Saccharomyces cerevisiae S288C: one gene and its partner. The gene in region 2 interacts genetically with the main gene of each other region. Each region holds a gene or a part of one and is shown on either strand. Other genes may lie near its edges.

What was found. A genetic interaction does not mean that the proteins touch.
Region 1: mutations in YAP6 (region 2) and ILV3 together harm fitness more than expected from each alone (negative genetic interaction), as found in Saccharomyces cerevisiae (one large-scale study listed by BioGRID).

Annotation. Positions count from the first base shown.
Region 1 is NC_001142.9:463,931-467,831, reverse strand, and holds ILV3 (dihydroxy-acid dehydratase ILV3), read left to right. Parts: upstream 1-1,623; coding exon 1,624-3,381; downstream 3,382-3,901. Other genes in the region: TES1 (palmitoyl-CoA hydrolase), read left to right, coding at 1-600; peptidylprolyl isomerase ESS1, read left to right, coding at 799-1,311; YJR015W (uncharacterized protein), read right to left, coding at 3,579-3,901. UniProt on the Saccharomyces cerevisiae protein: Dihydroxyacid dehydratase that catalyzes the third step in the common pathway leading to biosynthesis of branched-chain amino acids.
Region 2 is NC_001136.10:974,131-977,741, reverse strand, and holds YAP6 (Yap6p), read left to right. Parts: upstream 1-1,959; coding exon 1,960-3,111; downstream 3,112-3,611. Other genes in the region: EXG2 (glucan exo-1,3-beta-glucosidase), read left to right, coding at 1-221; SWM1 (Swm1p), read left to right, coding at 513-1,025; chaperone ATPase HSP78, read left to right, coding at 3,499-3,611. UniProt on the Saccharomyces cerevisiae protein: Transcription activator involved in the regulation of genes expressed in response to environmental changes and metabolic requirements.

The sequences.
Region 1 (3,901 bases), on a different chromosome or scaffold from region 2:
TTCCAGAAAGAAGTTCTGGACCCACAGAAATTGAGCAGGTATGCCTCATTGTCCGACAGGTTCCAAGACGCAACCTCGATGAGCAAGTATGTGGATGCGTTTCAATACGGAGTCATGGAGTACCAATTCCCCAAGGACATGTTCTACTCGGCAAGACACACCGACGAGCTGGATTATTTCGTCAAAGTGAGACCTCCCATCACTACCGTGGAGCACGCGGGCGACGAGTCTTCTTTACACAAGCATCATCCGTACAGGATCCCGAAGAGCATTACTCCTGAGAACGACGCTCGCTACAACTACGTGGCCTTTGCGTATCTGTCCGATTCCTACCTCCTACTCACGATCCCGTACTTCCACAACCTGCCTTTGTACTGCCACAGTTTCAGTGTCTCGCTCGACCACACGATTTACTTTCACCAGTTGCCTCATGTGAACAATTGGATCTATCTTAAGATTTCGAATCCCAGGTCCCACTGGGACAAGCACCTCGTACAGGGCAAGTATTTCGACACACAGTCGGGACGCATCATGGCAAGCGTCTCTCAGGAGGGCTACGTTGTCTACGGGTCAGAACGAGACATTCGAGCCAAGTTCTGAGGACAATTCCCTCCCACGTATAAACACATACATATATATTCTTATATTATATAATAATATCCTATTTATTATTACATCACCTTTCACGAGCGGGTATCATACCTTTTTCCCTTCGATCTAAGTAGAAAAAGGACCTGAATGATCATTGTGGTACTTATTCCCACGCATAACCGACTACGGCACCACAACGACGCACCAATGCCATCTGACGTAGCATCGAGGACCGGGCTGCCAACCCCGTGGACCGTCAGGTATAGTAAGTCCAAGAAAAGAGAGTATTTTTTCAATCCAGAGACGAAGCACTCGCAATGGGAGGAGCCTGAGGGCACCAACAAGGACCAGCTACACAAGCACTTAAGAGACCATCCAGTGCGTGTAAGATGCCTGCACATTCTCATCAAGCACAAGGATTCAAGAAGACCCGCATCGCATAGATCCGAGAACATTACGATATCCAAGCAAGACGCTACGGACGAACTGAAAACCTTAATCACGAGGTTGGATGACGACTCTAAGACGAACTCCTTCGAGGCCCTGGCTAAAGAGAGATCAGATTGCTCTTCATACAAGCGAGGCGGCGACCTCGGCTGGTTCGGGAGAGGCGAGATGCAGCCTAGCTTTGAAGACGCTGCCTTCCAGCTCAAGGTCGGCGAGGTAAGCGATATCGTTGAATCAGGAAGCGGTGTTCATGTGATCAAGCGGGTAGGTTAGGTTGGCATTTGCTTCTCCACCTCACCTTTTTATGTTCTTATTCCCTCTTGTATCCATTCCGTCCTCGCTGAACCCATGAAAAGAAAAAAAATTAACTAGTCACATAGTTAAATGGCGCTGTTCTTCGCTGCGAGCGGAACCGGGCCTGAAAAAAAATTTTCTCTTTTCCTCTCCAGATGACTCAGTAATATAGTAGTATATTATATAATGTAACAAAAGAAGAGACTGAAGTTTTATTATGCATTGTAGCGCCTGTAATCTTTAGTAACGGATTCTTGTATTTTTTTGTAAACAGCCAAGAAAAAAGTAGAGATGGGCTTGTTAACGAAAGTTGCTACATCTAGACAATTCTCTACAACGAGATGCGTTGCAAAGAAGCTCAACAAGTACTCGTATATCATCACTGAACCTAAGGGCCAAGGTGCGTCCCAGGCCATGCTTTATGCCACCGGTTTCAAGAAGGAAGATTTCAAGAAGCCTCAAGTCGGGGTTGGTTCCTGTTGGTGGTCCGGTAACCCATGTAACATGCATCTATTGGACTTGAATAACAGATGTTCTCAATCCATTGAAAAAGCGGGTTTGAAAGCTATGCAGTTCAACACCATCGGTGTTTCAGACGGTATCTCTATGGGTACTAAAGGTATGAGATACTCGTTACAAAGTAGAGAAATCATTGCAGACTCCTTTGAAACCATCATGATGGCACAACACTACGATGCTAACATCGCCATCCCATCATGTGACAAAAACATGCCCGGTGTCATGATGGCCATGGGTAGACATAACAGACCTTCCATCATGGTATATGGTGGTACTATCTTGCCCGGTCATCCAACATGTGGTTCTTCGAAGATCTCTAAAAACATCGATATCGTCTCTGCGTTCCAATCCTACGGTGAATATATTTCCAAGCAATTCACTGAAGAAGAAAGAGAAGATGTTGTGGAACATGCATGCCCAGGTCCTGGTTCTTGTGGTGGTATGTATACTGCCAACACAATGGCTTCTGCCGCTGAAGTGCTAGGTTTGACCATTCCAAACTCCTCTTCCTTCCCAGCCGTTTCCAAGGAGAAGTTAGCTGAGTGTGACAACATTGGTGAATACATCAAGAAGACAATGGAATTGGGTATTTTACCTCGTGATATCCTCACAAAAGAGGCTTTTGAAAACGCCATTACTTATGTCGTTGCAACCGGTGGGTCCACTAATGCTGTTTTGCATTTGGTGGCTGTTGCTCACTCTGCGGGTGTCAAGTTGTCACCAGATGATTTCCAAAGAATCAGTGATACTACACCATTGATCGGTGACTTCAAACCTTCTGGTAAATACGTCATGGCCGATTTGATTAACGTTGGTGGTACCCAATCTGTGATTAAGTATCTATATGAAAACAACATGTTGCACGGTAACACAATGACTGTTACCGGTGACACTTTGGCAGAACGTGCAAAGAAAGCACCAAGCCTACCTGAAGGACAAGAGATTATTAAGCCACTCTCCCACCCAATCAAGGCCAACGGTCACTTGCAAATTCTGTACGGTTCATTGGCACCAGGTGGAGCTGTGGGTAAAATTACCGGTAAGGAAGGTACTTACTTCAAGGGTAGAGCACGTGTGTTCGAAGAGGAAGGTGCCTTTATTGAAGCCTTGGAAAGAGGTGAAATCAAGAAGGGTGAAAAAACCGTTGTTGTTATCAGATATGAAGGTCCAAGAGGTGCACCAGGTATGCCTGAAATGCTAAAGCCTTCCTCTGCTCTGATGGGTTACGGTTTGGGTAAAGATGTTGCATTGTTGACTGATGGTAGATTCTCTGGTGGTTCTCACGGGTTCTTAATCGGCCACATTGTTCCCGAAGCCGCTGAAGGTGGTCCTATCGGGTTGGTCAGAGACGGCGATGAGATTATCATTGATGCTGATAATAACAAGATTGACCTATTAGTCTCTGATAAGGAAATGGCTCAACGTAAACAAAGTTGGGTTGCACCTCCACCTCGTTACACAAGAGGTACTCTATCCAAGTATGCTAAGTTGGTTTCCAACGCTTCCAACGGTTGTGTTTTAGATGCTTGATGCATTATAGGCCCCAATCGATGAATATATATATAGAGATTCTCCTTTTCCATCATCTTTTTTGTTCGCAATCTTTTCATATATATATATATATAAATATTTATTATAGTCCATTGAATGGATAAACATTTATTTAAAAAAAAACAACGATCAGTATTTTTTTATTTGAAAAGTCGCCTTAATTATAATCTACGAAATTAACTCTGCTTTGCTGCCACTAAAGCCTTCTGTTTTAGTTTTCTACTAGCATACTTGCCAACAAATGGTAACAGTGCCGTATTCAAGGCAATGAGTGCGACTAAAATACCATAATTCCGACCCATCTTGCGTCTTGTCACGTCAAAAAAAATAACCCTGTAGATATCGATGACGTTGTGAACGGGCATCATGTACCCATATCTATAAACATTATTGTTTAGCGCTAATGGGAAGAAAGAAGGTGCAATATTGAGAATGACAAATGATAGGATCCAGAACCCGAGATACTGGGGTCCTAACGTAATAACAAGCATAACCGCAT
Region 2 (3,611 bases):
TCGAAGAAAAATTCTCATCCTCTTTATCAGCACAGGCATTTCCAAGAACAACGTCATCGGTTTTGTCCTCCACTACGACTTCCAGGAAGAGTAAGAATGCTGCAATTTCTAATAAACTAACAACTTCGCAGCTATTACCAATCAAAAATATGAGTTTGACCTGGAAAGCGAGCGTATGCGCACTCGCTATCACCATTGCCGCTCTTTGCGCTTCTCTTTAAAGTAAACGGCAACAGTGTGGTGCGTTTAATGGTGCTAATTATATATACACTTTTCATTATATTATTATAGATACTCAGAACGTAGGCACTATGTAGAAAAGCACCCAAAGTTCGAAATATCATATGATATACTTCTATGCATGTCGTAGAAAAAGACAACAATCTGAATTGCAACCTCAAAAAAAAAAATCTTAGTACTACATCATATTTGTGCCGTGGCCTAGCTGTATCGTGAGAGAAGGGAGAATAATATCAGAGAAGTGGGGTGAGCAAAGTATAACAACCACGATTATGAGTTCAAGTTCTTATAGGGATTCATATTTTCAATACCGCCATTTACCAGCACCACATCACATATTATATGCGGAATGGAATCAAGATATACTGGCGCTTCCGGACGAAGTGGCAAATATTACAATGGCTATGAAAGATAATACTCGCACCGACGCGGAGGAGGGAAGAGCTCCCCAAGATGGGGAAAGGAATTCTAATGTACGCGAGAGCGCTCAAGGTAAGGCATTAATGACAAGTGAACAAAATAGCAACCGCTACTGGAACTCTTTTCATGATGAAGACGATTGGAATCTATTCAATGGCATGGAACTGGAGAGTAATGGAGTAGTGACGTTTGCTGGACAGGCGTTCGATCATTCTTTAAACGGGGGAACCAATTCCAGGAACGACGGTGCCAATGAGCCAAGAAAAGAAACGATAACTGGTTCTATTTTTGATAGGCGCATCACACAATTGGCGTACGCAAGAAATAACGGTTGGCACGAACTGGCTCTCCCACAGTCACGATGAGCAGAACGTGACGTATATGCTGATCATTAGTCAGAAATTGTGGTGTATGGGTACTATGCACAGCCGTTGAGACTAGACTATTGTGTGAGAAATTTTTTTAAAGCAAAACAGTGGCGTAAAATCCACGGAACAAAATAACACCCAAAACAGTTGTACTGCTTTGTTTACTTTCGAGAAAGGCATTTTTTTCTCGGTTTGTTTCCGGCGAAATGATTTTTGGCGCTTTAGATAGATCCGGCTAGTTTTTCGGCGGGGGATAGGCGGTGTTTATATGGGCTGATTTATAGCATGTTAAATTTTTTTTCCGTACTTCATTTAAGTTAAAGTTATTCGCTGCTTGCTGCATCTGCGGAATTGTAATAGCGAATTTAAGAAAGAGCGTACCCGTTTTTGTTTTTTTAGCTAATGCCCCTTTGCATTATGCCGAAGGGTAGAAACTTTGTTCAAGATTATGCTTTCTTTGTAATTTTAAACATAGTCTTGCACTTATTTTTACTGCATGTGGATAAAAGTTTTTCGAATCGTTTGCAGGCAAATGTAAACTATTACTTTTTAATGATTTCTGATACTCTTTGATTCCATTCTGTCATACTTTTTTCTGCATTTGAAACGCTAATTAAGTATTTCTTGGCCCTGCTTCTTTTCCTTTTGATTTCTTTTTTTATTCTCAAGTTTTTAATTTCTGGAGAATCTCTTTTTTTGTTTATTTTGTTAACACAGTTAGTGGAGCCTTGTAGTATCGAGAGTAGACTATCTTTGGAAAGCAATGCGAGTTGAGAGATTGTGGAGTGTACTACAGAACCAATATTAAACACAATCTTTCCTCAAACTGTAACACCGAGTTTTTTTCCCCACCAATCGTGAATCCGATAGCATATACTTTTGTCTAGAAATTTCAATAAACAACAGAATAACGAAGAGTGCTAAGGGACAAATGCAAAACCCTCCGTTGATTCGTCCCGATATGTATAATCAGGGAAGCAGCTCAATGGCTACTTATAATGCCTCTGAGAAGAATCTAAATGAGCATCCTTCTCCGCAAATTGCACAGCCCAGCACGTCCCAAAAGTTACCTTATAGAATAAATCCTACAACCACTAATGGGGACACCGACATATCTGTTAACAGCAATCCTATCCAGCCTCCTTTGCCAAACTTGATGCATCTATCTGGTCCGTCTGACTATAGATCGATGCATCAAAGTCCTATACATCCATCTTATATCATCCCTCCGCATTCAAATGAAAGAAAACAATCAGCTTCTTACAACAGACCTCAAAATGCTCATGTTAGTATTCAACCTTCCGTGGTATTCCCCCCTAAAAGTTATTCCATATCTTATGCACCTTATCAAATAAATCCCCCTTTACCAAATGGACTTCCGAACCAGAGCATATCTTTGAATAAGGAGTATATTGCAGAGGAGCAACTATCAACCCTCCCATCTCGCAATACCAGTGTTACTACTGCACCTCCTTCTTTTCAAAACAGTGCTGATACCGCTAAAAATTCAGCTGATAATAATGATAATAATGATAATGTAACCAAACCTGTTCCTGATAAAGACACCCAACTCATAAGTAGTTCAGGCAAAACTTTAAGAAATACTAGAAGAGCTGCTCAAAATAGAACCGCTCAAAAGGCATTTAGACAAAGGAAAGAAAAATACATCAAGAATCTCGAACAAAAATCAAAGATATTTGACGATTTACTAGCAGAAAATAATAACTTCAAATCATTAAACGATTCATTAAGAAATGACAACAACATTTTAATAGCTCAGCATGAAGCTATAAGGAATGCAATTACTATGTTAAGAAGTGAGTATGATGTCTTATGTAACGAAAACAACATGTTGAAGAATGAGAATAGTATAATAAAAAATGAACACAACATGTCAAGAAATGAAAATGAAAACCTAAAACTTGAGAATAAACGCTTCCACGCTGAATATATACGAATGATCGAGGATATTGAAAATACTAAAAGAAAGGAACAAGAACAACGAGATGAAATAGAGCAACTAAAAAAAAAAATAAGATCCCTGGAGGAAATAGTAGGGAGACACTCGGATAGTGCCACGTAATACAATAAATAGGGAGCAGATATTGATCTCTAGTACTGGAAGATCAACTTTTTGCTTTGGCCTTATAGGTCATATAAATTTTAATAATTAATGTAACAGACAAATCAAGGTGTGATTCTGTTCTGATAAAATTTGTTATTTTCCAGAATGTTCTAGAAGTGTTCTTTCATCTAATGGCATCGCGTTTGAATAGGGGGTGCACGGACTTTTTTTTTTGAATAAACCCCTGTGATTCATTGTATCTAAGCTCATCAAACCCCCTAGTTACTGACTCACGCACACACATATATATACATATATATGCATATGTAAGCATGAAAAGTTTGACTTCTATTATCTATTCCAGGAACCCTGAAACAAGCGAGTGAAAATCTTTCAAGGTTAAATATGTTAAGACAAGCTACAAAAGCACCAATACAAAAATATTTACAGAGAACGCAACTATTAAGGCGAAGTACTCCACGAATATACACTATTGTACAGTGTAAAAGATCTATTTG